Canis lupus familiaris: one gene and its partners. The main gene of each other region encodes a partner of the protein of the gene in region 2 in a complex. Links are inferred from orthologs where the notes say so. Each region holds a gene or a part of one and is shown on either strand. Other genes may lie near its edges.

Region 1 (9,639 bases), on a different chromosome or scaffold from region 2:
TTCACCTTCCTGGGGCCAGGAGTCCCCAGGCCCTCCTTCCTGTCTTTGGTCCTGAGGAAGGCACTGGGCCACTGTGGGCCACAAGGCTTTTGCCCCCATGAGACCCCTGCCCCAGAGTGGGAGCTCTCTCCCTCACTTCCCCAGGGAACACTGGCAGAGATTTTGAGCTCTGGGAAGTAGGGTGGGGGTCACATGCTTTCTCTATCCTTTGGAAATTTTTTTTATATGAATAAAAGTGGATTTCAGGGAACCTGTGTGCAGTGTGGTTGGCGGGGGGCAGCAGTTCTGTGGGGGACCTGGACCCGGCTCGCCACCCTCCTGGGGCTTTGGTTTTCTCATCTATAAAATGGGCTGGTGGGCACTGTGGGGTTGAGGTCCTTGAGACCTCCTTGCCTGCATCCTGCAGATCTTCCCAATGACATGCCATCAGAGTCCCTGTGGCCTCCCCTAGGCTTTCCTGCCTTTATGCCCTCCAACCATGGCTCATCCTTCTTGCCACATACCCTGCTTCCATTACTTTTCTCCCTCCTGGGCTCTTCTTGTTCTCCCTTCAGAGGCTCAGGCCTCTGCTTCAGGAAGCCTTCCCTGCCCCCCCTTCCTGTCGCCTGATATGACCCAAGAACCCAACATCTTCCGCTGAGGCTGCCCTGGGCCCCTCACAGGCAGTTGACTCTAATCAGGGATGGACCTGGTCAACTCAGAACCTGCCCAACATCAGGGGACCCGGGCTCTTGGTGATACAATAGGTGGGGAATGGGTGAGAAGGGAAGCTGACAGTCACAGACGCTCACAGGGTCTGGGAGAACCAGAATCCCCCCTCATCCCTATGAGGGAGATGTTATGCCTGTTTTACAGATGAGGAAACTGAGGCCCAGAGCAGAAGTCACGTGTGCGGGGCCACAGCTAAGTCAAGATGTCCTGACCTGGAGGCAGGGCGGGCCTGGACCCTCTATGACAGACTGTCTTCGGCCAGCAAGGGAGCACCTGCTCCATGCTTCTCCCTCCTGCTGCCGGACAGCGAGTGGCAGAGACCCCACAGCGAGGATGCGGACGCGGTGCGGCTAGGTTCTGAGGCAGGGCCAGGCTGGCATTTCTTCAAGGCCTCTCCCAGCTTCCTGGCGCTTCCCAGGCTGACTGCCTCCCTCCTCCAGAGGAAGGCAGCCTCTTATCTGGGCTTATCTCCTGCCAATCGAGTGTTCTTTGTTTTTGTTATAGCCTCAGGCAAACAGGGTGGGGATATGACCGAGAAAGGGCTTCCAGAGCAGGTCCTTCCCAGGGCTGGGGGCCTCTCCTCTTTGCCCTGCTCCCTGGGGGTTAATACCAGTGCCTAGGCCCTGCCTGTTTCTGTGGTCAGGCCTGGTCCTGTCCCCAGAGGGGCCTACTCGATTCCGATTCGATTCCGTGGCCAGGCCCCTTGGCTAAGACCTATATTCCTGGTGTGGCTTACCTCTACCTACAGAAACAGCCCAGATCAGTCCCTGGGTCCTTACAGGCCAGGCTAAACTCCAAACTCCCAGGTATGACATTCTAGCCCCCTCATAATCCTGGCCTCCGCTCCTTCCCCCCTCTCTCCAAGTCCCAGTGTTAACTCACCTCCTCCCTGAAGCCCTCCCTGACTTTCCCTTTCCCCTGCCCGAGGGAGCCGCCCTCTCCCGGTTCTCAGTCCTTGTTACAGCCCTCAGCTGGCGGAAACTCCACTCCGAGGGGCGGGCTCCCCCCCCCCAGGAAGCTCCAGACAGCGGCCAGCGGAGCTGCGTGGAATTCGTCTCTGTACACCCAGTGCAGGGCGCCGGCTGGTCTATAGGGGGCTCCAATAAATGTTTCTGGGATTCAGCTCTGCTCCCAGCTCTGCTCCCAGGTCCTGGTGAAGCTTCTCAGTTCCCTAGTGACCGTCCAGTCCCAGCCCAGGGCCCAGCCTCCCCCCCCCGCCCCGCCCCCTGCAAGTCCTGCCAGCTCCCTGAATAGAGCTGGCCCCAGGCCGGCCACACAGTAGCTGTTTGGAAGGAGTGACCCAAATAGGAACAACTGACCCTCCCTGGGGGGCCGCGGCACGGTTTGCCGAGCGCGGAATTCCGGCCGGCCGGCCTGCAGGTCCCAATTACCACATGAGATAAGGCCCTGGGGCCCCGCGGCCCCGCGCCGCGCCGCTTTCCCTTTCCGGAGGCCGAGCAGCCACTCTGCTCGCCGCCCCGACCCCTCCCCGGGCTCGGTTCCAGGAGAAGCCGCTCAGGAGGAGCCTCGGTTTCCCTCACGTGTAAAGCGAGGACGCTCTCAGGGTTGCGAGGCCCCAGGCGACAGAGAGAGGAGCCTCGGCGGCACAAACGCGGGCTTTATTAGCACATTTCGTAGCGAGTGACAGCCCGCAGCGACGCCGCGGAGGAAAGGGCTCTGGAGAAGTTAGGGTTTTCCTGCCCCGCAACTTGGCGCAGACGCTCGGGGCAGCCCGGGCGGGGGCCGGGGCGGGGGCACGGGGCCACTTCCGGCCGCCAAGGGCGCGTAAACTTCAAAACTTCCGACGGGGCCAAACCCCTCCGTGCTCCTGGTGCACACCGGAAGGGGATCGGCTTTGGGTCAGATCGCCTCCTTCGAGAAGGAAAGAACTGAACCTCTTTCTTACATCAAGCCTGCGGGAAAGACTTCCGCCCACACCCAAGATGGCCGCCGGCGGCGCCGAGAGAAGGGGAGAGTTTCGGGACGCGGGACGGGTCACTGGGACGGGGCGGAGCCTCCTCTCCCCAAGTTCCGATCCCACCAGGACTGGATGACGCGCGTCCAGCTGGGGCTTTGTCGCATCTGCGTCGCTGTCCCCGCGCTCTTCGGGCGAGGAAGTCCCTTCGGGGTGGGAGGAGGAAAGGGTTAAATGAGTTAGCTTGTTCTGGCAGCGCGAGTCGGAGCCCTCCTCCTCCGGGACCCCGCCGCTAAGTGAGACGCCGGCCGGCCGACCTAAAGACCGTAGCTCCCAGCATGCCCTGCACCGAGGGGCCTCCTGTCCACTTGAGGAGCCTCGAAGGATCATTTGGGCCCTTAGGAACGGGACTGATTAGGTCCCAGACACACTGTGCCAGGGGCGCGGGGAGAGAACGCCAGGACCCCGGAAGAGCCCGAGACCCAGCCTCTGGAAGCCGGGACGGCAGTCCAAGAACTGAGGAATTCTGAAGTTGTTGAAGCCAAAGAACCCGGATATCTGAAAGGGACTGCCCGGGAGCACAAATGCCAGCGCGCTCCGCGCCGCGAGGATCTGGGGAACTCGGGACCTTTAACGTTCTGACGCACGGTGTGGACTACAGATACCGGCAGGCCCTGGGACTCAGGGTCAGGGCCGACGGAGAGGAGCGGCCCCGGAACTACAGTTCCCGACATGCTTTGGGGGCCGGCGCTCACCTTGAAGGAGCCCTGGAACTCGTCGCTCATCCTGCGGAGCTCGCGGCCGTAGCGCCGTGCCGCGCAGAGGTTGGGGGGCGCTGAGCTCGAGCGCCCCCGGAAAGGGCTGAGCTCTTCTTCCTCCATTCCTTCATCCTCGTCGGTCCCCGCGGGGAACGAGCTGTGGCGACTCCGGGTCTCAGCCCCAGCGCCTGCACGGGGGACGGGGGCGACATGAGTCTCTACTCCTTTGCGCCCCCAGCCTTGCCAAAGCCTTCCGGGCAGCTCCCTCTCGCTGATGGCTCTGTGTGCACAGTACCTTCAGGGGTACCTGGAGCCCCAGTTCAGTTCCTTCATATGTAAAGCGAGGGAAGCTCCTGGGGCTTTTGTGAAGATTCGAATTAACTTCTCAGTAATCCCACAAATCTTAATTGAGCCCCAACAGTGGGCCAGGCCCTTAGAGTATCAAATGACCTGCCTCTGTGCCTGCCACAAAATAAGGCCATAAGTAGTATAATTATCAGTGCAACACCACAGGGCCCCGGGGCACTCCCTGGATGAGGTCTCTGGCCCCAGGCAGGGCTGAACTCTTAGCTGGGCAAGTGATCTGCGGGGGGCCCATCTATTTCACTGTTGTGGCCTAGGGAGACCTTGGGTCCCTGGAGAACAAGCACCTGTCTGCAGCATGTCTGTACCTCCCAGAACACCCACTTTGGAGATTGAGTCTGGAAGGGTCTATTAATTTTTTTTTCCCTTAATATTTTATTTACTTATTTGACAGAGAACACAAGCAGGGGGAGCAACAGGGAGAGCGAGAAGCAGGCTCCCTGTTAAGCAGAGAACCCAATGTGGCCCTATCCCAGGACCCTGGGAACATGATCAGAGCCAAAGGTGACACTTTAAGTCACCCAGGTGCCCCTGTCTGTTGACTTTTTAAGGTAATGATTATGGAGCACTTACTATGTGCCAGCCCTCGGAATTACCTCATTATGCTCCTAACCATCTTAAGGAGTACTAATATTGCTTCCATTTTATAGACGATAAGACAGAGACTTAGAGAAATGAGACTTGTCCAAGGTCACACAATGTGAAGCTCTCAGGCTGGAACTCCCTAGAAGTTTCTTGGACTCCCGAGTCCAGTAATTAGCCATTGAGCTACCACCCTTCAACTCTGAACCAGTGTGCTCACCTCTGTGTGGGGAGAGACCTATCCCCTACTACCAGTGGCTGTGTAGAGGTCACATGAAGTATGTGAAAGTGCTCTGAGAGTTGAAAGTACATGATAAGTTGTCATTCACAGTCACCTCTCCTGTGTTCTGACCTCTGTACTGTGTGCCATCCTTCCACTCCTGCCAATCCCACCCCCAAATCCAGACCAACAAAGACCTAGAACCACTCCCAGGAGCAAGAACCCAGAGCTACATAACAGCGTGAAACACAGCATGGGCTCAGCAGCTGAGCACCTGCCTTTGGTTCAGGGTGTGATCCCGGAGTCCCAGGATCGAGTCCTACATCAGGTTCCTTGCAGGGAGCCTACTTCTCCCTCTGCCTGTGTCTCTGCCTCTCTCTCTCTGTGTAACGCTCATGAATACAATAAATACAATCTTAAAAAAGACAGACAGACTGACAGCATGGAACAAACACACGGCAACATGCTGGGGGTCCCTGGCAAAGCCCATCTGTCAGGGAAGGCATTTTGGAGGAAGTTGGATTTAGGCCAGGCTCTGAGGCCAGGGGACAAGTGTCTCATTCTCTCCCAAAGGACCTTACACAAAGCCCTACAGGTCACTTTCAGGGGCTAAGAAAGATCCGTGGCTAAGAAAGCTAAAATGTGGGGATCCCTGGGTGGTGCAGCGGTTTGGCGCCTGCCTTTGGCCCAGGGCGCGATCCTGGAGACCCGGGATCGAATCCCACGTCGGGCTCCCGGTGCATGGAGCCTGCTTCTCCCTCTGCCTATGTCTCTGCCTCTCTCTCTCTCTCTCTCTCTCTCCCACCATGTGTGACTATCATAAATAAATAAAAATAAAAAAAAAGAAATAAAAAAAGAAAAAAGAAAGCTAAGATGTGAAGAGAGTACTCGATTCAGAAAGGTCTAGATTAAGAGAGTGGTCAGAGCTCCTGGCTGTTCTGAGCTTCACCCAAGTCCAGGCCTGATGTCAGGAAGGAACACCATACAGCCTTTGAGAAGTGAGGTGGAAGTGGAGAACAGGCAGCTAACTCAGAAATCAGGATTGGGAATACTGCCTGAGAGTCAGGAATAGAAAGACCCCTGATAAGAACAGGCCCATCTACAGAGCACTTTCCAATTCTATGGAGGGTGAGGGTGTGGGCAGACGCAAGGGTCCCACCTCAACCAGATTTCTGTGACCTTGGGCCATTTTCTTCCTCTTTTTTTTTTTTTTTTTTTAGGATTTTAAAAAAATTATTTAAGAGAGAGGGGAGCATGGAGGTGACTGAGAAGAGCAGAGGGAGAGAGGGAAGCAGACTCCCTGCTGAGCAAGGAGCCCGATGTGGGGCTCTATCCCAGGACCCTGGGATCGTGCTCACTTCGGCAGCACATATACTAAAAGCAGGATCCTGGGATCATGACCTGAACTGAAGGTAGACCCTCAACTGACTGAGACCCCCAGGTGCCCCACCTTGGGCCCTCTCCCAACCTTTTGGGGCCTCGGTATCTTCCTCTATGAAATGGGGGCAGTTCCTATCTCCCAGGACATCCAAGAACAGATGAGACAAGGAGAGCACCAGGTTCTGCCGCTTTTACATCCCGAAGCCTCCCAGCTTCCCAGTGAGGTAGCTGCTAAGTTCTCCCTATATTACAGATGAAGAAATGGAGGCACCTAGAGGTTAGGAATTGCCAGAGGTCCTGCAGCTGGCACACCCTCCTGGCCACTTAAGTGCTCGAGGAATGTCAGCTATTCTCCTTTACTAGTTTTTAATAAGGCACACAACCACCACACTTGACAGACACAAGGTCCAAGAGTCAGAAAATGAGTGACTTGCAGGTGGCCACTTGGTCTGGGTACCACCTCCTTGCCTAGGAATCAGAACCAGCAGAAGAATACTTGCCATGTCAAGTTCAAAGTGCTTCACCTGAATCAATTCATTACATCTCCATCACACCCCATGAGAAAGGTTCCTCACTGTCCCCATTTTATAGGAGAAAACTAAGGCACAGAGAGGGTAAGTACCTTCCCCAATGTCACACAGCCAGTAAGTGGCAGAGCTGGGATCCAAACCCAGCCAGGTTGGCTCTAGGGTCTGTGTGCTTAATGCTCATGCCCCAGGTTCCCAACAGCAACACCTTGGACCACCTTGGGGGTGCAGTCTGGGGGAAGGCACCTCTGGGCCTTTGGTGAGTGCCCACTCTATCAGGAGCCTATCAAATGGGGTAGGGTAGGGTATTTTCACCAAAGCCATGGATTTAGCAATGCCAACCGAGCCATCATCAAAATGACAATCATTTGTGTAAACTGAGCTTTTAAAAGTGCCCTACTCTTTGCTGGTCATAGCTTGAAAGAAGCCATAAACAATATATAATTAACTGTGTTGCTATATTCCACTAAAATTTTAAAAATGTTAAAACCATTCTTTTTTTTTTTTTTTTTTTTTTTTTTTTAAGATTTTACTTATTCATGAGAGACCCACAGAGAGAGAGGCAGAGACACAGGCAGAAGGAGAAGCAGGCTCCATGTCTCCATGTGGGGAGCCCGATGCAGGACTTGATCCCGGGTCTCCAGGATCACACCCCGGGCTGATGGCGGCACTAACCACTAAGCCACCGGGGCTGCCCTGTCAAAACCATTCTTAGCTCATGGGCTGAAAAAAAAATAGGGATTTAGCTGTGGCTATGGTTTGCCAACCCCTGCTCTAAACCCAACTGTGTCTGTCCCCTTCCTAAAACCTTCAGTGGCTCCCAATTGCCGAGGAGGTGAAGTCCAAACTCCTTAGTGTGTCTTTCAAGGCCTTTATCTTCTGGTTCTAACTTATACTTTACTTGTCCATCATCAGGAGGGCATAGGTTATTCACGTCTACCTCCACTGAAAGAATGGCAGTCCTCAACTCTGCTCAGCGCCTAGGCCAACTCATAGTAACAATAACAGCAACAATCACAGTAATAGTAAGAAGAGAGATTCCTCTGGACCAGGCACTGTTTCTAAGCATTTTTCCTATTTTTTTTAAACATTTATTTTTTTTAAATTTTTATTTATTTATAGTCACACAGAGAGAGAGAGAGAGAGGCAGAGGCAGAGGGAGAAGCAGGCTCCATGCACCAGGAGCCCGACGTGGGGTTCGATCCTGGGTCTCCAGGATCGCGCCCTGGGCCAAAGGCAGGCACCAAACCACTGTGCCACCCAGGGATCCCAACATTTTTCCTATATTAATTGATCAGATCCTCCCTACAACCTAGAAGGGAGAACTAGTTCTATTCTCATTTTACAGATAAGAAAACTGACGCAGACAGAGTTAACTAGCCTGCTCAAGCTCAAACTGCTAATAGAGGGTAGTGTGGTGTTTGAACCCTGTGGCCTCACCTACTGGGCATTCCTCCTTCCCTCTCTACCATCCATCCACACACACAGCTCACCACATACCTGCCTGTCCCTGGCACTGGGCTATGTGCAGGGCCTGTCACAGCACAGAAGGTAGCTCAGTCTCTGCCCTGGGGATGCTGACAGTCCAGGCCCACAAGACCCAGGGGCCAGGGGGTATGAAGTGTGACAGGACTCTGCCCGTCTGGAGGGGGCAGTGGCTTTGTGGCTCTGGCAGGCCATTTGCACTTGTTGATTTTTATGGGAAAATCACTTGCTTTTTAGGTATTGAAAACAAAGTTTAAGAACACCTGTGCTGTCTTCGCACTTTCTTTTCCTTGCAGCCCTCCTCATTGAAGGGTCTGGAGCTAGGGGAGGTGTCCTTATCACTGCTTCAGACTATTCTCACTCCCTCCTCCTCGGTCCTTATCCAGGCCACACACCCCCTGGTGCAGGAACTTCTTCCATCCAATCCCTGCTGCTCTCTCCATCACCACATATCCTCATTCATTCACAGGACCCAAGTGGTCCTTCCCCTTCCCAACCTCTCCTTCCTTGCCCTGCCTTCTCTAGTCCTGCCCTCACTCTCAGTTGCAGGGACAGAACCTTCGGTAATTCTATCCCAAGCCTTACACCCCTACCTGGCTGGCTCCCTGCCTTGGTAGCCCACTCTAGTGATGCCAGAAGTTCCAGAGCAAACTGACACCCCACACCAACCATTCCCTCCCTTGCAGGCACCTCTTCCCAGCTAGGCTGAGACAGGCACAGCTCTGGTTAAACTCTAACTCCCTGCTGGCCCCCACAGGCCCCTGGTAGCCAGTGTGGCTGGAGAAAAGCACAACCATGCAGCCACCACTGAAATTCATGGCCATAGGGATGCCTGGGTGGCTCAGCAGTGGAGCATCCGCCTTTGGCTCAGGGCATGATCCCGTTTGTCTGGGGAATCCAGTCCCACCCTCCAAGGAGCCTGCTTTTCCCTCTGCCTCTCTCTCTCTGTCTCTCATGAACAGATAAAGTGAAATGAAAGAAAGAAAAAAAAGAAAAGAAAAGAAAAGAAAAAAAGAAAGAAAAGAAAGACCATAAAACCCAGTTGCACCCTTGACATTGCCCAGTACACTTCACATGCTCTATGTTTGGGGATGCTCGACTACTTCAAACCTGATCCTTTCTCCTTCAACCCTCTCCTGGAGAACCCGGAAGCACCCACAAGAGAAACTTCTACTACTTCCCATAAAGTATCTACCCAAGACCACGCAGCTATGTCCACCTTCCGGCGTTTAGCTGAGCTAGCCCTCCCCAGGCACCAGACCCCTCCCCTACTCAAAGACATCTCTCTAGCTAGTCTCCCTTCTCTCCTGCCTCATTGGGTAGTTTCCTGGCTCCTGGATTACTCCCATCAGCTTATAGACGGGCTGTTTTCTTTCTCCCTTCTAAAATTAAAAAAAAAATTAAAAATTAAACAACTCAGGACATCTCGTTGTTTCAGCAGTTGAGTATCTGCCTTTGGCTCAGGGCGTGATCCTTGAGTCCCGGGATCCAGTTCCACATCGGGCTCCCTGCTTTTCCCTCTGCCTATGTCTCTGCCTCTCTCTCTGTGTCTCTCATGAATAAATGAATACAATCTTTAAAAAAAAAAATTAAACAACCCTTCCTGGAGCCTCCTTGGGCCTTCAGGTGCTGCCCATTTCTCTGCTCCCTTTTCTGGAACACAGCTGCCAAGATTGGGCTCTCCTTTCTGCCTCCACT
Region 2 (10,521 bases):
TGCTACCAGTTATTATCCTTTCATTTATCCAAGTTCTGTTGGGTACTCTACCAATAAAAATGGTGTAACCCCTCTTCCTCCAGGCATTTGACACTGGTGATAAATTTTCTGGAGTCTTCTCTTCCCTGGGTTAAACAAAATGACCCAGTGGAACTGTCTACTGTCTGACTCAGGTCTGTCAACTGGGAAGGGGGAAGACAGACTGTCGGCTGGAAGGAAGAAAAGAAGCTGCTCCAGGAGCAGAGTGACTCCTTCAAAGAAAAGAGAGGAAGTCCCTAGGGAGAACTCTGTGGACTTAGGGTCGGGGTAGGGACAAGGCCCTGCTAATGGAGGTAGTAGAAGATTATACTTCGGTTGAAGAGAAGCTCACTAGGAATTACCCCTAAATCTATCCCTGCCAAACCCAGACAAGATCATGGTTCTGAAAGTGAGCCCCGTGATAGAAGGCTAAGGATGTTGGAAAATGATGACTTCAGGACAGATACCTGCTGGGGAAAGGACAGCTAACAACTGCTGCTTCCTGCAGCCCAGACAAATCTGGTGACTGCCCACACAAAAGTCAAGAAAACTTTCTGGGTTCTGTTGGGACCCCTTGAAAAAACACCTGGGTAATTTTCTTCCAGAAGTTGAAGGGCTCTACAGGGCCACTGGGGAAATTAGTCCCAGGAAGTCTGGAAAATCCTGTGATAGTGACAGAGTTTCAAGAGCAACCTCAAATATACATCCAGAAGAATTGGGTGTTTTGAGGTGGAGTCCCTGAGACATTTCTACCTCACTTTGGGACCTGAATGAGATTACTAAAAATTTCCACGTTTGGGGTTTCTAATGGGGTTTCCCCAAGAAAACCACAGAATTGCCAACAGCTGCTGAGATCTGTAAAGGTCACTGAGGTGCTTCAGACAGCATACAGCCATGCCAAAGAAGCCAGAATAGGCAAGAAACCTACAGAAACTACAAGACCACAGAGCCATGCAGCCTCGGAAAGGCCAAATTATTTTTCCTCTCTCCACAGACTGTTCATCGCTCTTGACAATGGTTTTCAATCGAGCTAAGGGGTTTCCCAGGGACAGCAATTCCAAAATGGCCTAGCCCACCTAGGTCCTCACCTTAAAACTGTCCACATTCCCATTGGAAAGCTCCCAAAACGCTCTGTCCCTATATAGGTCACATCAGGTTCCATTCTAGATGAGTATCTTAGGAGTTGGCTTTGTTTCTTGAGAAACTATGGGGCCAGAGTTCAGTTTTCTGAGGCAGATGACCTACTCACTAAACGAGGTGCTTCCACCCTACAATTATGGCCCAGGAAGGGCTTTTGTTCTAGATTCTTTACTAGAGTCAAGCTATGGCAGGTGGCTGACATTATTCTATTTTACATGTAGAAGAGATGGATGGACAAGAGAGACAAACAGGTTCAGCATCTTGCCAGGTGACTTCAAGCAGGCAGTGGTGTGGCTACATGTGGAATTCCAGTCCTTGGAGCTCACCCATAATTAAGTAGATATATCTGAAGCAGGCCACCTTCTCTCCACATGCACATGATTCTTATCTATTGGCAGAGCCTGAGAGGGTTTAACAATTAAGAATTAACAAGAAGGCCACTCTGACTAGGCAAAACCCTGATTCCTACTCGAGTTTTACCAATGTCAGAATCTGAGGCTATACACATTCCTTTGGGAATATGCTCCTGCCAACAAAGGCACCGTTCTACCTGCAGCTACCTGAATAATGTCAGGATCACAGACCAGAGTGAGCACCTCCACAAGCATGTTTTGTTTGGCCCAACAGCATTTCTGCCTTTTTGTGCCAGGATATCCGGGTCAATTTATTACTCCTAGAACAACCTGATACGGATGGAAAAGACTTCAGAGTCAGGCTGACTGACCTAGGTGAAAATTCTCACTCAGTCACTTAACTGGCTGAAGGATACCCGGAGCCAGTCATTGAGCTATCAGGGGCTTCACATGTAAACTGGGAATAAACCTACCTACCTTGAAAAGTTATTGTGTGAGATATGTGAAATAGCATGTCATTTCCATGAGGGAAGGTATCATGTGCAGCTAACTGCCAGCATCCAGCACAGTGCCTGCCTCATAATAGATGATCAGCACGTTCTGGCTGCATAAGTAAAAGACTCAAGACAATGCCTCATACATAGGATGCACTTTATAAAGGCTCATTTCCTTCCACTTTTCTGTAGGGATGCTAAATTTAGAGCACATCCCAGCGTGGTAATGGCCCGTAAGTCGTACCCTCATGGATTCACCACAGCCTCCAAGAAGGTTTTGAGATGGCTACTGCGGTAGCCAGCCTGTGCAGCTCAAACAGGATGGTACGAGAAAGGGAAGTGAGTGGGTAGCTTCCATCCAAAGGATCTCTACTTAAATGTTCTTTACCTCCTGGCCTCAGGGAGCATGAGTGCCCAGAAATGGTGCTGACATAACTGGCTCTTCTGCACACATCCCCTGTTCACCAAGAGGAAGTACATATGGTATGTTGCCTAACGGGCTCTGAAAATTCTTGAGCAGAGACAGAAGATGGAATTTCAATCCAGGGGTGATCTAGTGAACTTTCCCTGTGCTGCTGTCTAAAACTTCTTTCCGTATATACAGTACTGGGTGACCGGCAATTCTCTGATCCAGGTAGTCCTCTGCAGAGGCTGGTCGATAGAATAGGCACCTCTCCCAGACTGCCTCTTGTTAATAGCTGGCAACAACCCACCTGGTATTAGCACCCCTGGCCAAAGACAATAGTCAGGCAAGGTGGGCACAAGGCCCAAGTCTCTACTAGGAGATGCCTCAGAGGCTTTGTCTGAAGTGCTGGAATCCTGTCTCTCCTGTAATCAGCTGAACAAATATTTGCCCCCAAAGAGAATCAAAGCAGGAGGGAACAGGCGAGGTCATCACACAAACCAACAGGAACTATTTAATCATTTATCCCCCCAGGGAGTTCATTTACAGAATGGCTTTCAAGTCTGGTCAGCCTTAGCTCTAGAGCTCTCCACCTTTACCTCCCCCAACCCCACCCCAGTCATCTGACCTCTATTGACTTGACCCCTTTGTGTTTTACAAGAACTGGCAGCAGGAAGAGTTAATGAAGTTGCAAAGAAATGGGAAATAAGACAGGGGGAAGGGCAAACTAGGCGGTCTCTGGCTCAGAGGTAAACTGAAGTGCCACGCCCTAGGCCCAGCCTATGGATAATTTGCATTCTTGACATTCCTGAATCTGTAGTACTTGGGCCCTTCCACCTCAGCTCCTTCAATAGATGACTTATTTTCCACAGCCTGCTCAATTTTCTGGGTGTTCTGAGGGGGCCGAATACCCCCCACAAGCCCTGCATCTCCCCTAGGCAAGGAGATAAGCAAGGAAATGAGGATTGAGTTCACTGTAGGGCAAAAATTGCCTACAATGAGCACTCCTAAAGAACTTCTCACCACTATCTGCTCCTAAGTTGGTGTTGGGCAAGAGAATTCTCCATTGGGGAGGAGAGGAATGAGGGCATGACTCCTAGGCCCACAAAGTGTGTCTGGAACCAATAACTACTACAGAAACTTGCTGGTGCCAGTCACTGCTCTCATTAGCTCCAGGATTTACAACACTCTGCCCCATTTTTTTTTAGTGTAAGAAACTGAGAGGCTCAAGGTAAAGTGGCCTGTCCAAGGTCGCACAGCTGGGTGAGTGACAGGGCTGAAACTCAAACCTATGTCAGTTTGTTTCTGAAGTCTGTCACTGAATCTCAATATCCCAAAGAGCCCCCACAGACCAGGTTCTTGCTTTGCCAGCCAACAGTGCTCGTGAAGAGGCCCTAGGGCCCTGGCCGGAAAGAACAGGCAGAACAGCTAGAGCTCTCCAACCGACCCCAGGCAGTGAGGTGCAAAGTCCCCAGGCTTACTGCGTGACACAGCAAGAGCTCCACAAACAGGCCAACCATACAGAAAGTTTGCACACTTTAGAGCAAATGAACAGAGGAGTGCAGCACAAACGCAACAAGCCCACTGGCACAGCTTACCACTGCCCTAAAATCTGACAATCCTCAGCCATCCAAGCCACTATAGGAACTTCTGCCTGGCCATGCCCCATTCTGAGAGGAGACGAATATGTATGCGTCTGAGACAAGAGGAACATGTATATGCAAACTCTGAAATAAACGGAACTTAATTTGTGGGAGGGAAGGAAGCCCAGGATAAGATTGACATCCCTGGGGGAGTAAGAATGAAGGGGCTCAGAGGTATTACACTCATCAGCCCTTTTTGTGGTGAGCCATTTTGTCAGGCTGTGGGGGAACACTAGAATAACCTCCCACTCGCAAAGATTTGGGGCCAAATAAACACACAGGCTATGTTTTCCTCTGCTGAGAAACTGGAACACAATTATGAAAGAGTGGGGTCATGAGAGTGACCAGGATGAAAGATGCTTGGTCCTTTCAAGACTAGGTTACCCGTGTTTGAGAACAGTTAACCTCTTGTGGTGCAGGGAGGTCACCTCTCCTTAACAAGCAGTCTCCAATAACCACCCAGCACAACAGAAAGAGATATGGGTGAGAAGGCTATTGGAGATCTCTTCGATCAGAGGCTGAGGGAAAGGTAGTATACACAAGGGGCGTGGTCCTTACCCAGCCGCCGTTCTCCTGGATCCAAGGCTCTAGGTGGTCATTCAGGTAAGTGGCCATCCAAGCTGCGATCCGACTCACCAATACCTGCATCTCCTTGTCTACGCTCTCCACGCACAGTGCCCCACCGAAGGAGAAAAAGGCCACAATGCGACCCCAGTTCACCCCATCCCGGAAGAGTTCATTCACTACCTGCTCAAAGCTCTGATATGCTGTCCCTGGGGTGATGTGAAGCTGGGATGTCAGGTCACTGAATGCCCGCCGGTACCTCAGTTCAAACTCATCCCCAGCCTCCCTCAGCGCTTGTTTCACCGCTGCCATGGGGATCACCTCCCGGGCATCCAAGCTGCTGCTGTGGCCAGTGGCTCCATTCACCGCAGGGCTGTCTGCCAAGTGCCAGGATGGGTTGCCATTGATGGCACTGGGGGTCTCCATCTCTGATTCAGTCCCTTCTGGGGCCTCAGTTCTGTTCTCTTCCACATCACTAAACTGACTCCAGCTGTATCCTTTCTGGGAAAGCTTGTAGGAGAGAAAGTCAACCACCAGCTCCCGGTTGCTCTGAGACATTTTTATAATAGGGATGGGCTCGACCAGTCCATTGTCCAAAACACCTGCTCACTCACTGAGTCTGGTCTCTGCTTAGTGGTTCTCTTCTGAGATCCAAAGCCAAGATAAGGTTCTGGTGGGAGAGAAAGAGCTTCAGGAAAAAAAAAAATTAATATGCATGCCATTTAACCTACAATATTCCATTCCCCTTCCAGGTACCAGAACTGGTTTCTTTGTGGTTCTTAGGAAGGTCTGGGTCTAGCGTCCAAAAGACTTCAATGAAGTCAAATTGAAAGCACCCGTGGGCTCTTTCTGAATCACCACACCGGCTTTTTTTTTTTTTTTTTTTTGTACCTCACCACCCCCTTTTCTCTGAAACGCCTTCCTCAGAAAGTCACCCCCACGGACAGTCTGCCCCCACCCCCACCTCCGCACCACCTACATTTAAATCCGTCTCAGGCAACCGCAGGCAGGTGCAACCCCCGGAAGATCTTTTGTACCATAGGTCGGGAGAAGAGGTGGCAGCCGGGATGCCGGCAACTCAGCCGGCCTCACGGCGGCTGGCAAAAAAAGGAGCTCCGGCTGGAGGGATCATGCGACCCGGCAGGCTGAGAGCCCAGAAGGCGACACAGGAATTACGAAGCTCAGGAACCGGCCCCCTCGCTTGCTTCCTCCTCCATCGCCCGGATCGAGGGCGGCCACTCGGCAGCGGCCTCCTGCCACCCGGGAGCCCAGCCCCCTCGCTCTTGCACGCCCCTTGGCTCTCCGCCTCCTACTGGGAGCCAGGAGAACTCTCCCGGAGGTGGCTGGTGTGGGCTGTAGGTTTTTTGTTGTTGTTGTTTCTATTTAAGTGCCAGCTCGGGGTAAGGCTTCCGAAACCCTGAAGGGACTTCTCAATGGGGCTCAAGGTTTCGAGAAGGGGCAGAGGGAGGGGGGAGCTGCCTCGGATCTGCGGTCTGACTTCGGAAAGGCCATCCTCGGGCCTTTCCGGGAGGCTGACGGCCGGGGACCCCCCAGAAACACCGCTGGTTTTCCTTGAATTCCCCAAAGGCCCTGGACGCGGAGGCGGTGGGGGGGGATTGCCGGGTCCTCCATTCCCCGCACGGACACAATGGCCGCCGGCGCCCTGCACAAAGACCGGGTGAGGGTGAGGCGCCAGGCCTCTCCTCGGGTCAGGGAGAGGGACTGAGGCCTGCTCGCGGCCCCCCTACAGCTGAGACCACGTTTTCCTGAGGACAGGCCCAAGGCAGCTTCCTGGCGCCCCCGGGAGGGCGGGGGGGCCGGGGGCCGGGGGGCCGGGGGCTGCACCTCTCCGGAGCCCGGGGCCGGTGGGCTGCGGCCTGGCGGCTTCTCCCGCGCGCTAGGCCGGGTACCCGCCGGGCCACCGCCCCGTTGCCAGGCAACTGCTCTCCCTCAGGGGCGCCCCCTAGCCCTTTCAGGGAGGAGGGGTCTCGCCCCCGGCGGCCCGCCCCGGCGCAGCCAATCAGCGAGCCCAGTCGGCACACAAGCGGGACGGCGAGGGCTCCCATTGGGCGCCGCGCCTGCCACGCACAGGGGAGGCGGCGCTCTCACCTGCGAGCCCCGCGAGCCGTGGGGGGCCACATTCCCCCTTCGTCGGCCAGGTCGTTTCCAGACGCTAGGGCTCTTCGTGGCCAAGTTCCGCGCCGCGGACCCGGGCCGGCCTACCTGGCTGACGGCTCGCGCTGTCTCTTCCGATCGAGCCGGCCTCAGTTTCCCCTGAAGAGACCGGGGGAACTTGCAAGCTCAGTCACTTCCGGTGCCGCGGCAGCGCGCGCGAGCCCGAGACGCAAAGGGAGTGCGCGCCTTGAGGACTGGCGTCAAGACCTGGGAGAGGGCGCCCCCTTGCGGCAGATCTGGGGAATCTGGAGACGCAAAAAAAGAAAAAAGGCAAAGTTTATATTCACATTTCCAGGAGTTCGTTTAATCAGTCAATTTCATCCGTGAGTTTATATATCTAAAAAGCATCGCGTTGTAGCTAAGAACCTGCGCCTGGGATTCCAGCTCTGTCAGTTGTGGATGTTACTCAATTTCCTTAACTGTAAAATAGGTAAAAAAAAACAACAACAACAACAAAGAAAACCACCTATCTCCCTCATTAAAGTTATTGCGAGGATTGAAAGAGTTGTAATTTGTAAAATCTGTAGCAGCACAGTGTGTGGTCCATAGTGTACGTTGCATAAATTTATTCAACAAATGTTTATTATTTGGGTTTCTGAAGAAACAAGACAGGGCCCCTGCTTTCATGGAGACAAACCCTTGAGCAAGAAAGAAACAGTAAATAACTTTGAAAATACACAAACAAGGTAATTTCAAATAGTGACTAGTGCTATGAAAGAAGTAAATCAGGGTATTGTCGTAAAGGAAGTGAGGGGAGGGTACTGCTTTAGACTGGGTGGCCAGGGATGGCCTCTTTGAAGAGAGGACATGAAACCCAAGACTTGAAATATAAGAATTTGCTGACCCATGATAAGAACCTAGAGAACAGCAACCTAGGCAGAAGGAACAACTTATGCAGGATGTCCTGAGGCAGGAAGATCTTGGCATGTTCCAGAAACTGAAGGAGAAGCAAGTTGCCTGGAAGGTAGGGGAAATGTGGCGTGGGAGGAGGTTGGAAAGTTAACCATGGAAGTGAGTTAGACTTGATTTTAAACACTGAGAGGTGTTTTGCGTTGATCGGTTAAAAACAGGTATATAGGAACACCGGATATTAAAAATATGAAAAGAGCATAGAATGAAAAAGTTAAGTCCTCCCTGCTTTCCAATCCACAGTTCCCCCCACAGCGATCATCATTCTCTTCTGAGGTCTCTCAGAGGTGGTCGCTATATTCACAGGCAAATTACATGTACAGATTTTTTAAAAAAAGATTTTATTTATTCATGAGAGACACAGAGAGAGACACAGACATAGGCAGAGGGAGAAGCAGGCTCCCTCTGGGGAGCCCGATGGGAAACTCGATCCCAGGATCCTGGGATCATGACCTGAGCCAAAGGCAGATGCTCAACCACTGAGCCACCCAGGCGTCCGACACATACAGACTTTTTTTTTTTTTTACACAAATGATAGTTTACTATAGACACTTCTACATTGTGCTCTTATGACTGAGCTCTACGTTTGCAGCCTGCCTCAGTTTTTTAAATTAAAACACAAGCTTATAAAGACATGCCATAATTTACTCGCCTAGTATTCTATTTCTGAACACTTAGTTTCCATTCCTTTCCTATTATAAATAATGCTATAACTTGTCCATTTGTTATTTTGCATATGTGGGAGTTTATGTTAGGAAAATTCCTGGAAGTAGAATACCAGTAAATGAGGTATGAACTTGTTTTTGTTTTGTTCTAATGGATATTGGCAAAGTACTCTCCATAGCAGTTGTACTAATTTGCCCTCGCATCAATAAAATATGAGAATTTCTCTTTCTTCACATCTTGAACTTCAGTGTTATCAAACCTTATTTTCTTTGCCAATCAGATAGATAAAAACCAAGAGGCACTTTTATTTTTCATTTCTTTTCATTGAGAGAAGTTGAGCAATTTTTCATATTTATGAGCCTTTTTGGGGGGGAATTCTAGTGAATTCTCTGTTCATTTCATTTGCCGTTTTTTCAGTTGGTCCTTCTGTTGAGCTTTTTCTCACTGATTTATAGAATTTTTATCCTTTTTTTCCTACATCTGAGATGTAAATATTTTTCCAGTTTATTGTTTATTATCATGGACAAACTTTTATTTTGTATGTATTTTAATTTATCCATCTTTTCCTTTGTGGCTTCCAGGTTCTATGTCATTCTTAGGAAAAGCTTCTCCAATTCAATATTAGAAAACAAATTCTCTGTTTTCTTTTAGTTTTTACATGGCTTCATTCTTTACATTTCAATCTTGTGCCATCAAAGTCACTTTGGTCTAAGGTGTAAGGCAGGAATCCACAACTTTTTCCCAAATAACCACCCAGTTATTGCAGTATTATCTTTTCCCAACTTGTTTGAGATGTCTCTCCTGTCATAATCTTTATTCCTAAGTGTATTGGGGCCAATTTCTGAACTCTCTATTATGTTCTATGGAAGAGTTTTAAACTGGGGCAGGGTGTGATCTGATTTCCTTTTTGAAACTTCCAATGTCACAATTATTTCAGTATGAAAATAATAATTATGGAAGTTTATGATGTGCTTTGGGGGCCCAGCAGAGGGCAGATCAGCCCTGCCCAGAGATAATGGGCTTTATTGAACCGCTGCGCCACCCAGGCATCCCAGGCTCAGCGGTTTAGCACCGCCTTCAGCCCAGAGCATGATCATGGAGACCCAGAATCTAGTCCCACCTCGGGCTCCCTGCATGGGGCCTGCTTCTCCCTCTGCCTCTCTCTCTCTCTCTCTCTCTCTCTGTGTCTCTCTCATGAATAAATAAATAAAATCTTTAAAAAAACAACAAACATTTGCTGAGATTTAGATGATGAGGAAACGATTGTGGTGTGATGTTAAGTGAGAATAAAAGTATATAAAACTAGTTGTGTGACACAATCTCAACTCTAAATACCATGCATAGGAAAAAGACTAGGAAATCAATATGATAAAGGCAAAAGAAAAATGGAGAAAATCCTTGCACCGACGCTAAAGAGAAACGGAAACAGAGTGGTCAATAAATCTGAAAAGATGCTCACCCTCACTAGTTATCAAGGAAAATGAAAATGAAAACCTCCCTGAGATGCCATTTCATACCCACTAGCCTGGCAAAAATGGGAAAATCCAATAAAATCAAGGTGGTTCAAGAGTATGGAATAACTTTGGAAAAAAATTTATTGTCACCTAGAATTAATACCCATAACCTATGACCCAGCAATTCTATTCTTTGATATACACTCTATTTTTTAAAAAGATTTTATTTATTTATTCATAAGAGACAGAGAGAGAGAGAGAGAGAGAGAGAGAGAGAGAGAGAGGCAGAGACACAGACAGAGGGAGAAGCAGGCTCCACGCAGGGAGCCCGATGAGAGACTCGATCCTGGGATTCCAGGATCACGCCCAGGGCCGAAGGCAGATGCCAAACTGCTGAGCCACCCAGGGATCCTCTGATATACACTCTAAAATAATTCTTACACATGTGCAAATGCAGGTATAAGAATGATTATAGAAGTAGGGGCACCTGGCTGATTCAGTTTGAGGACCATGCAACTCATGATCTCAGGGTCATGAGTTCGAGCCCCACATTGGGTATAGAGATTGCTAAAAAAAAAAAAAACCCAAACTTTTAAAGAAAGAATGTTTATGGCAGCACTACTTATAATAGCAAAAATTTGGAAACTACACGTGTCCATTATAACAAAACGTTTAAACAAATAGTATATTTATACTTGTAAT
Region 3 (10,230 bases), on a different chromosome or scaffold from region 2:
GAGACTTTGTGACAAAAACATGAGCCTTGTCCAAAGGCCACAGAGTCAAAAAGTAGATGCTGACCAAATCTTGGGGCACCTTAAAAAAAAAAAAAAAAAAAAAAATCATCCACTGACATTGACCAGTTGAAGCTGCCAAGAAATATATTTGAAAAGTTGCCTAAATCAATGGCTTTCAAAACTTTTTGACCTAGATCCACATGAAGAAATATGTCTTATGTTCAGATCCAGTACTCATATACATGTGTAAATCTAAAACCTAAGTTTCATGAAACAATATTCACCTTTACTACACGTGATTCTATCTTCTTCTCATTGTCATTTTTAATTAAGTTGATCACTATTCACCAAGTTGTTTCCCAGTTCTCTGAAAAGCACTGTTATACTAGGTCTTGGATTTATGCTGAATCCTATTAACTGAGATGGGATTTGACTTAATTAAGAGAAATGAAACTTTATTTCATCCATTCATTTATCAACAATTATTGGGTCAAGCCCTGTTCTGACTCCTGAGGTACAGCAATTAACAAAGACCCCTACTCATAGAGTTTATATCATAGGGCTCTGCTGTCCAATAAAAGTTACTAGCCAAGGATATTTAAATTAATTAAATAGAAGTAAATAATTCCATTGCCACACTAGCCACATTTCAGATACTAACTACTTGGGGCCTAGTGGCTACTGTATTAGAGCACATACTGAACATTTCCATTATCAAAGCTCTTTTCAACAGCTCTGCTCTGAAGGAAAGAATTAAGTAAACTACATTTTCTGTAACTTAAGTAAACACAACTTTCAAGCCTTCACTGCAACTAGCTGCATCCATGTAATTGCTCAATATGATTGTAGCCAGGACACAGGGGTGCAAGAGCACCTGCCTCTGAGATTCCCAAACAGACCAAGTTCAACCACTTGCCGCTGACAAAGTCCAAAGGCAGAGAGATGAGTGGTGGTGAAAGAAGAAAGTTTATTTCAGTGAGGCCAACACTGGGAAGACAGAGGAGTAGGGGTTCAAAGACCATCTCCAAAAGGTTGAAAATACTTCCAGGTATGTATAAGGGAAATGTGGGGCAAAGGTGGGTGGGTAAGTGCTGGTGGGCAGTGAAGGAAGGTTTAAATCCATCATAGTCTTAAGAGTCTATCATGGGTGGTGACTTGCTGGCTCAGGGCAGTCCTTATTGCTTCAGGGGGTAGTTCTGATTCTCATCAGGGGATGCTTTGCCTTCAGGCTCTTCCACCTGAGCCAAGGGAAAAGCTGGAAAGAACCCCACTAGAAAGTTTGAGGTCAAAATGGAGGCCAACGAAGTCCTCTTTCAGGACTTCTAGAATTGCTCCTTAGGAGGGAAACACAGTTGGAATATACTTTTGTTGTTCCCCTTTTCTTGCAGCTTGCGAGGTGGATGTGATGGCTGGAGTTCCAGCTCTGTTGCAGGCCATATCGGTGGTGAAGAAAGGAAAATCCTAGGCCTCTGACGCCCATGATGTCACCACACGTGTCTGGACTGCAGATTCCTGAATTTCTTTTATACAAGAGAATCAATAAACCCTTACGTGTTTAAGCCACCGTAAGCAACCCTGAACTGATAAAAGGGTGAACCCTTCTGAGGTACTTTTTTCATGTGAGGACTTGAGTTAAGAGGCCAGAAGACAATGTCTTTGAGACCTCTTTAACTTCAAGAGATCCCAAATCATATTCAGCTGTAAAATTTAGGACAACCTTAGGTTTTGTTAGAAATCACTGAACAAAAAAAAAAAAAAAAAAAAAAAAAAAAAAAGAAATCACTGAACAAATCATTGTAAGAAAATGTTATAAAAAATTTCAGCGGTGTCTGGGTGGCTCAGTTGGTTAAGAACCTGACTATCTCAGCTCAGGTCATAATCTCAGGGTTGAGTTCAAGCCTCTCTTTGGGTTCTACCCTGGGTGGGGAGCCTACTTAAAAAAACATTCAAATGATGCCAAAGTAAAAGCTAATTAGTTAAAGACCAAATCCTGGGATCCCTGGGTGGCGCAGCGGTTTGGCGCCTGCCTTTGGCCCAGAGCGCGATCCTGGAGATCCGGGATCGAATCCCACATCAGGCTCCCGGTGCATGGAGCCTGCCTCTCTCTCTCTCTCGCTCTCTCTGTGACTATCATAAATGAATAAAAAATTTTAAAAAAGACCAAATCCTTCCAATTTTGTTAGTGACTTGTAATTATTTATGAATAATTTTCCCTATTTGTAGTACTTGTGTTCTAAGTAGGCATTTTCAGATTTGGTGCAGATTTTTAATTTTTTTAAAAAACGTTTTATTTATTCGTTTGAAAGAGAAAGTGAGAGCTTGAGCATGGGAGTGAGGCAGAGGGAGAAGCAGATTCCTCACTGAGCCAGGAGCCCAACTCAGGGCTTGATCGCAAGAATATAGACCTCATGCCCTGAGCCACCCAGGTGCCCCGGCACAGATTTTTTTTAAGATTTTATCTACTAATTCATGAGAGACACACAGAGAGAGGCAGAGACACAGGCAGAGGGAGAAGCAGGCTCCCTGCGGGGACCCCGACCTGAGCCAAAGGCAGATGCTCAGATGGGGTGTTCGGTGCAGCTCCAGGTCACATCTTTTTGGGGAGGGCACATTTTGACTCCTCCTTCATCTCAATTCACTGTTCTGGGTTCTGCTCTTTTCGAGTTGCTCTCTGTGCAGAATGCTTCATTACTGGATTTACGGGGGGGGGGGGGGAGGGGAGTTGATATAGAATTGCCTGATTTCTTTGATGTACCAGAACAAAAGTTTCTGTGAGGGGGACGCCTGGGGCGCTCAGGGGCTTACTGGATTTACGGGGGGGGGGGGGGGAGGGGAGTTGATATAGAATTGCCTGATTTCTTTGATGTACCAGAACAAAAGTTTCTGTGAGGGGGACGCCTGGGGCGCTCAGGGGCTGAGCGTCTGCTTTAGGCATGACTCCGGGGTCCCGGGATGGAGTCCCGCATCGGGCTCCCTGCATGGAGCCTGCTTGTCCCTGTGTCTCTGCCTCTCTCTGGGTCTCTCATGAATAAATAAATAAAATCTTTAAAAAAATAGATAGATAAATAGATAGATAGATAGATAGATAGATAGATAGATGATAGAGTGGAAAAGTGGACATTTGGGTGGCTCCATGGTTGAGCGTCTGCCTTCGGCCCAGTGTGTGACCCCGGGGTCCCAGGATCAAGTCCCATGTCGGGCTCCCCGCATGGAGCCTGCTTCTCCCTCTGCCTGTGCCTCTCCCTCTCTCTCTCATGAATAAATACAATCTTGAAAAAAAAGAAAAAAAATTTGTGTGAAAAATTGTGTAAAAAATCTGGTTTTAACTTGCTCACGATTGGGAGCTCCGTACAAAACCCGGTGCCACGGACCTTGCAGGGCATAAAAGTATCTGTAGAATTTAACGAGCTCTCCGGTTTCCCACCAAAACGGAAACAAAACGGCTTCCTTGAGCGTTTGCTCCGAACCGGACACCTGGACGTGAAGTCCCCCCAGTTCCGTCCGACTCTGTGGCAGCTGGGCTATCCCTTCGAGGTCATCTTCGAGGTCATCGTCGACGGACGCTAGAGCTCTTTTTTTTTTCTTTCTTCGCTCGGAGGACAGGGTCCAAGGCCAAGCGCAAAAAGGGACGGGCAGGCTCCGCAGCGGCGTCCCCGACGGGCCGCGGCCTCCTCACGCGGAAGCCCGCCGGGAGCCCCTCCCCCTCCCCGCCGGCGGGGCCACCGCAGCCGCACGGGGCGCCCCGAAACCGCGGCCGGGCAGGGAGCCTCCCCCCGCCGAGGGCCTGGAGCGAGGCCGACTGCCCCGCGCCCCACCCCCTCCCCGCGGACGGCCTCGCTCCACCCTCTCCCCGGGCCCCGACCTTCCGTAAACGCCAAGTCCTCCACGGCGGCTCGCTTGTGTTCCCGGGAACGGGCGGGCGCGGAGGCCTGAAGGGCCGCCATCCTCCTCGAAGCCGCAGCAGGCTCGGCACCTCCGCGGGGCGGGGAGGCCGGGACGCGGGAAGCCGCGGGAAGCCGCGGGAAGCCGCGGGCGCGGCGGAGGGCGCCATTGTGTCCCCGCGGCCAAGTCCCCGGATGCTCGCCGCGGCCCCGCCCCCCGCGCGGCCGTGCGTGCCACGTCACCGCGCGCGGCGCTTCCGGAGGCGCCGCGGGCGATGACGTAGGGGGACGTGCCCTCTATATGAGGTTGGGGAGCGGCTGAGTCGGCCTTTTCCGCCCGCTCCCCCCTCCCCCCGAGTGCCGCTCCGGCTGCCGCGCGCTCGCCCCGAGCTCCCGGCTCCTGCCAAGCCCGCGCCGCCGCCGCCCGTCTCCAGCCGTCGTCATGATCATCTACCGGGACCTCATCAGCCGTGAGTCGTGGCTGCACCCGCCGTGCCGCCGCGCGCAGGGGCCCGGGGGAGGCCGCGCGGGGGGCGGGAGCGGGGAGGCCGCGCGGGCCTGGAGGACGCCGGCCCCTCTCCGGGGCGAGGAGGGGTCGGGCCCGGGTGGGGGCCGGGGGCTCGGGCGCGCGGGAGCGGCGGGCGCGGCGGGAGCAGCCGGGCCCGCGCGGGCGATGGCGGCGCGGGTCCCCGAGCCCCGGGCGCGCGGTGACGGGCGGGCCTGTGTCCCCGAGCAGATGACGAGATGTTCTCCGACATCTACAAGATCCGGGAGATCGCGGACGGGCTGTGCCTGGAGGTGGAGGGGAAGGTGAGTCGGGCGGCGGAGGCGGCGGCGGCGGCGGCGGCGAGGCCGGGCGGGCTCGGGTTTCCGCCGCTCGCTCCCCCGCCCGCGGTTGTGCAATCCTCTCCGCTGCCTCCTGGCGGAGGGGACGCTCTCTTCCGGGCTCTCGGGTTTTTCTAGAAAAGTGGAGGCGGAGCTGAGCCTGGAAATAGGTCCCCGCCGCCTGGCGCCCATCCTCCTCCCGGGCGGCCGGCCTTGCCGCGCACCCTCCACCGGGGTGTGAAGGGCCCTGCCGCCCTTCTGGCCCAACAAAGAATCCTTGTTGAGTCTCGGTGTTGGAGGAATTTCGAGGGGCGTGAGCGTTTTATTTTATTTTATTTTTCTCTTTCTCTACGACGCCGTCTTCGTGGGTTTTAGCAAGAGTCCGAAGTGTTGGGTGGGAGGAGGATTGTGTGAACTGCTGACCTAGAAGATCTAGTGGGGAATGCCTTTATGCAAAGGTCCAAAACGTCTGAAACCGGACTTTTTTTTTTCTTTTCTCCTCCTCCTCTCCTTAATGTTTTTTTTCTTTTCTCCTCCTCCTCTCCTTAATGTAGATGGTCAGTAGGACAGAGGGTAACATTGACGACTCGCTCATTGGTGGAAATGCCTCCGCGGAAGGCCCGGAGGGCGAAGGTACCGAAAGCACAGTAATCACCGGTGTTGATATTGTCATGAACCATCACTTGCAGGAAACCAGCTTCACAAAAGAAGCCTACAAGAAGTACATCAAAGATTACATGAAATCGTAAGTGGTCCTGGCGCAGCCCACCCTAAGGTCAGCCCTGCGGGATTTGGGGATAAGGTAACCTGGAGGTTCTTTAGCAGCAGGCATGCTTGGGAAAGGCTTTCTTGTTGATGAGCTCACAGACTGATGCCTTCCTATAAATAAACTAATGTGAGCATACCGCAGCTGGAAGTGTGGTTTTAGCTCTTCAGAAGTACTTTGGGAATAACTTGAAACCCTAAATTGTCAAGACTTGAAACTTTCATTCCTGTGAGCTAGTAGTTTCTTGATTGTGCCATGTGAATTTTTGCCCGGTGACAGCCAGCTGCCCTTTTCAGCGCTTGTTTGTTTGTTTTTTTTTTTTTTTTTTTTTTTACTGAAAAAATTTGTTTTGCTGAGAACTGAGTACTTTAACCTGTCAATAAAATACTGTTTTAGAATCAAAGGCAAACTTGAAGAACAGAGGCCAGAAAGAGTAAAGCCCTTTATGACAGGGGCTGCAGAACAAATCAAGCACATCCTTGCTAATTTCAAAAACTACCAGGTAAATACTATAAATGTTTCTCAGAATTGTGCAATTGTAACTGCCAGAGCAACAAATGACTTGATAAGTCGCTGATGTAACGGGATTATTTTCTGGGTCTTCTGAGCAGTTTAAATACTTCATAGATTCCTTTCCAGTAGTCTTCACTGTGGAAAGTGGCCTTTCCTGCTCCCAAGTGTGTTTCTAGATCTTGCCTGCTGATTGTAGAACCTCATCCCTACTACTCTCCAGATGACAGGTTTCATTTCTCCCGGTCTAGAATTGCTTGGTAACCTCCTGTCTTTTTATTTACAACTCCAGTCTCATTGCCCCTGGAGTTCTTTCTACACTTCTGTTGGGAAACTCAGTGACTCTCCCTTGGCGCTTTATAGAACTTAAAGAAAAAAACTCCTTACAGCCTGGCTCTTTGACTTTCCAGCTTTCACAAGTCCTCTGGCCAGAAGATAACTTTCCTCCTATAACCTGCTCTCTCGCTGTTTGATGACATAAACAGGCTTTTTAACAGAGTTGGAATTGTATATGTGGGGTTGAGAGAGTGTTTCCAGAAAGCCTGAAGTGTTCTGGATTGCTCTGTACTCTGGTCAATTGTTAGTGTTCTCATTTGGTGAACAGAGGTTTGAGTAGTAGTTTTTTTTTCCTTTTTTTTCTTGTGAAAATCTCTTAAATTGTGTTTTGAATCCTTTGTTTTACTGTAGATTGTTTTGATACGATCTGTATATAATGGCCTAATTCTGGGTGTTTGTTGTTTGCTCCCTAAGTTCTTTATTGGTGAAAACATGAATCCAGATGGCATGGTTGCACTCCTGGACTACCGTGAGGACGGTGTGACCCCTTATATGATTTTCTTTAAGGATGGTTTAGAAATGGAAAAATGTGTAAGTATAAGGAAGTGGGTTGAAATCAGTAATGTAAAAGTGGAGACATCTTCTGTGTGACTGTCTCTTGCTGTTGGGTAGTTAGAATGGGTTTTACAGCAGTCTCCACAATGTAGGTCCAACTCTGGTTTCTCTTTGGGAGTCTAAAAGGGTTGTGTTTTGCATACAAGATTTTTACGGCACAGAAAAGGCATTTAGAAATACAGAAAGCTTTTCATGTAGATGGCTTAAATCCCAGCTTATGTACTAAACTGGAGATAAACTGCATTCTGTTTTTTTTTCCCCCCATAGAAAGTCTTTCTCTTCGTATTTTGCCACGCATACGTGCGTGAGTGGCATGTATGGCGCTAGGCCTTTTTCACTTTGGTTTACTGATGATTGGCAACTGGTCACTGGAAGCCTTGATGTTACTAACTTTTAGTAAATAAAGTTAGAGCTGGCTGCTTATCCAGTATGCAGAATCCTTTAGTACAATTAAATGAATGTCTACTATGCAAGGAATTATTGGAGGCCGTACAGAAATGAGAGCATTCATTATTCTAGCTTTCAGAGGCTTCCATATAAATTAGGAACAAGATAAACTTGAGGCTACCCTAAATAAGAGAAGAGGCCTCAGCGGACAAAAATGTCTTCAGATTGCATGAGCTGCTACGGAAAGTATTCCAGGAATATCTGCGGGTTTTGTTGGTAGAACAAAAAGTATGTGTGTGAGTGGGACTTGCTTCAGAATGAGATTTTTTAGAAAATGTGCCACCCCTGCTTTGGTGAGGATAGTCCTGCATCCACTGATAGACCTTGAACAATTGGCTGTTGTTCTTTTGGTTTGCACTAGGATGCAAGAGAAAAAAATCCCTGCGCTTTCTGTCTGTCCCTGTGGCAGCCCAGATTGAATAGGGGAGTACATCGGTGGCGTGGAAGGGTTAACTGTTTTCATACTGGATCAAAGTGGATTAATACCCTGTCTTGTTTCTACAGTAACGAACTTGGCTGTTAACTTTGGATGTATCACCTGTTGTCCTAACTGGCTGCTGCTCTTCATCCACACAACACCAGGACTTAGACAAATGGGACTGATGTCATCTTGAGCTCTTTATTTTGACCTTGATTTATTTGGAGCGGAGGCATTGTTTTTAAGAAAAAAACATGTCATGTAGGTTGTCTAAAAATAAAATGCATTTAAACTCATTTGAGAGAATGCCTCTTAGTTTAACACATTTTTAAATCCATTCTGTGTAGTGTCCTGAAGAAGCTAGAGCCTGGTTGTAGACTACTGCTAGAAAGCATAAGACTGCCTGCAGATAACTTCTACAGTGAAAGCTACTTCTGGGACTGGAATATAAAAAACAAGAACCAAAAGTCTTAATTCTGAGTTCAAGTAAAGGGAAAGACCATGCTCATAGCTGGGCCAACATTTGAAGTGGATTCCTTACACATTTCATCACCTACAAACGGAAGTAGTTAACTCTGGAAGAGATTGCCAAAAGAATAAAAAGAGACTAATAACAGTTGGAAGCAAAGTATTGTCTGATCTTATTTATCTTAAGTAGAGCCAAGTTCTAGAGAAATCTAGACATCTCCTGGAATGCTTGTGTCAAACTATCTGGAATGGGGCTGGCAAACTGGCTTGTCCCGCCACTTGTTGGGTGACTTTTAAGGTGTTTATATTTTTTAAATGGAAAAAAATAGCTGGTGGGATATGAAAAGTACGAAGACTTAAAATTTGTATCTGGTTTTTTTTTGAACATTGCCATGCTCCTAAGAGCAGGGTAGGACAGACCTTAAGGCCTACATAGTCTAAAACAACCATGTGACTCCTTAGAAGGTTTGTCAGCCGTGCTTTAAAAGATGAAGTTGTAGATGGAATGTGGGATAGCTGGTTGTGTCCTGTTGTATCTGAAAGGGCTATGGGTGTCTGAAGGAGAATAAGGAAAATGCATCCATGTGACAGACCTAGAGCAGTTTCTATCTGCCTCTAAGGTTTCTGCTAGAGATGCAAGAAAAAGGTATCCTCGCGCTTTCTAGCTGCCTGACGGTGGCAGTTGAGATTGAATGGGGGAGTACAGGGAAAAAAACTGCAGCTCAGGAGTGACTTGGTTAACAATGAAGATCTTGTTTACTAAAAGGATCTAAAATTGGAGTTTACAAGAAGTGTTGGAAGATGGCTTCCCAGATCCTTGCCTTTTAATTCCATTCTTAAGAGCTTAAGGGTTAAAACTAAATTGAAGGCAAGCCAGTGACTCATCTCCTAAGACATGTGAACTTGGGCAAATCCAGTGATTTAGCTGTCTGGAATTTGCCCTAGAGGTTTGGGAGTCCATCATGTGGGTCACAGCCTGAGACACTAAGGTTGATGGTGCCCCCTGGTGATTAGTGGAAGCAAACTCAAATACTGGAAACTAGTCAAGTAGGTGGCAATTTTAAGCATTCTGACCTGACCTTAAAATACAGAAAAAGTGCCAGTTGCTGACCCAGGAGACCAGTCAGCCCTCTCTGAAATGGGAGAATTTTTGGGCCGCGGTCAGTGTTGTGATCCTGAACACCTGATTACAGGAGAGGTCTGACCGGAGTAGAGAGTTAGCTATGGAAAGGGACAGGAGTAGTGGGGCAGAGGCTCTGTAGGAAGTGAAGGATCCAAGTCTACCCAGCCATATTTTCAGTCGTTACAGGTAAGAGTCTGGTTAAGCTGCTTTGAGCAAGAGTTAACAGGAGATGTGTACACATCACAAGGCCTGTCCTTTAGGTCTATTGGTTCTAAGATTGATATTTAGTGTCTTTCAAGCCCTAGGCTTTGTTAGGTGTGTGGAGAGGAATTGTAAAGGGACTTTAATAGTCTGGGAAGGCCTTTGTGATAGGATTTGAATAGGAGCTTGAAAGCAAGTAAGGCTATGTGGCTATTTGAGGGCAGAACGTTCCAAGCAAAGAATAGCAAATGCAGAATCTGAAGTGGAGTGTGCGCTTGACCTGTTCTAGGGAGAAGGTGGCCAGTTTGCTGGACCCACGATGGCGAGAGAAAGTAAGAAGTGAGTATCCAGGGAAAGAGGAAACCAAGTCCCGTAGGAAGGCCACAGGGGCAGAAGGGACATCTGACCTGATGAATTAGATAAGCAGTTGAGTATTTCACTTGGGAGGATAGCGGAGAAATCTAAAGATTTAAAGAGCTACTGGAAAAATCTCAATGTAAGATAACTTGAAGCCAAAACCCTGGGTGAGATCTAGGAAGCACAGACTCCTCCCGCTGACAGAGCTGGAGATTGGTCACCATGATGACCAACTGGCAAAGTGACCCCGAGAACGTGTCCCTGAGGTAGAATCCAGGGAGGGGTCTGGAAGTCGAGTGGACAGTGTTTCAGAGTTATCTCTTGCAGACTAGTCAAGATAAGG

The links.
Region 1: the proteins of BCL2L1 (region 2) and BAD are in contact, whole or in part, in a crystal structure (PDB 2BZW), measured with the Mus musculus proteins. The link is inferred for Canis lupus familiaris from reciprocal best matches to the Homo sapiens genes BCL2L1 and BAD. Residues at the interface, in NP_001276645.1 of Mus musculus: Ala93, Glu96, Phe97, Arg100, Tyr101, Arg103, Ala104, Phe105, Leu108, Gln111, Leu112, Gln121, Ser122, Gln125, Val126, Glu129, Leu130, Arg132, Asp133, Asn136, Trp137, Gly138, Arg139, Val141, Ala142, Phe146, Asp193, Leu194, Tyr195, Gly196; in NP_031548.1 of Mus musculus: Ala137, Leu141, Ala143, Ala144, Gln145, Tyr147, Gly148, Arg149, Leu151, Arg152, Met154, Ser155, Asp156, Glu157, Phe158, Glu159, Phe162, Lys163.
Region 3: the proteins of BCL2L1 (region 2) and TPT1 are in contact, whole or in part, in a crystal structure (PDB 4Z9V), measured with the Homo sapiens proteins. The link is inferred for Canis lupus familiaris from reciprocal best matches to the Homo sapiens genes BCL2L1 and TPT1. Residues at the interface, in NP_001304848.1 of Homo sapiens: Ala93, Glu96, Phe97, Arg100, Tyr101, Ala104, Phe105, Leu108, Gln111, Ser122, Gln125, Val126, Glu129, Leu130, Asp133, Asn136, Gly138, Arg139, Val141, Ala142, Phe146, Leu194, Tyr195, Ala199, Ala200, Ser203; in NP_003286.1 of Homo sapiens: Phe14, Asp16, Ile17, Lys19, Ile20, Arg21, Ile23, Ala24, Asp25, Gly26, Leu27, Cys28, Leu29.

The regions. Positions count from the first base shown.
Region 1 is NC_049239.1:53,291,955-53,301,593, reverse strand, and holds the end of BAD (bcl2-associated agonist of cell death), read right to left. Parts: intron 3,573-9,639; coding exon 3,382-3,572; intron 2,833-3,381; coding exon 2,707-2,832; 3' UTR 2,693-2,706; downstream 1-2,692. UniProt on the Homo sapiens protein: Promotes cell death. Successfully competes for the binding to Bcl-X(L), Bcl-2 and Bcl-W, thereby affecting the level of heterodimerization of these proteins with BAX. Can reverse the death repressor activity of Bcl-X(L), but not that of Bcl-2.
Region 2 is NC_049245.1:21,691,306-21,701,826, forward strand, and holds the start of BCL2L1 (bcl-2-like protein 1), read right to left. Parts: upstream 5,578-10,521; 5' UTR 5,174-5,577; coding exon 4,610-5,173; intron 1-4,609. UniProt on the Homo sapiens protein: Potent inhibitor of cell death. Inhibits activation of caspases. Appears to regulate cell death by blocking the voltage-dependent anion channel (VDAC) by binding to it and preventing the release of the caspase activator, CYC1, from the mitochondrial membrane.
Region 3 is NC_049243.1:5,675,519-5,685,748, forward strand, and holds TPT1 (translationally-controlled tumor protein), read left to right. Parts: upstream 1-4,174; 5' UTR 4,175-4,323; coding exon 4,324-4,351; intron 4,352-4,617; coding exon 4,618-4,691; intron 4,692-5,260; coding exon 5,261-5,451; intron 5,452-5,868; coding exon 5,869-5,974; intron 5,975-6,732; coding exon 6,733-6,849; intron 6,850-7,625; exon of another isoform or gene 7,626-7,755; intron 7,756-7,824; coding exon 7,825-7,827; 3' UTR 7,828-8,039; downstream 8,040-10,230. UniProt on the Homo sapiens protein: Involved in calcium binding and microtubule stabilization. Acts as a negative regulator of TSC22D1-mediated apoptosis, via interaction with and destabilization of TSC22D1 protein.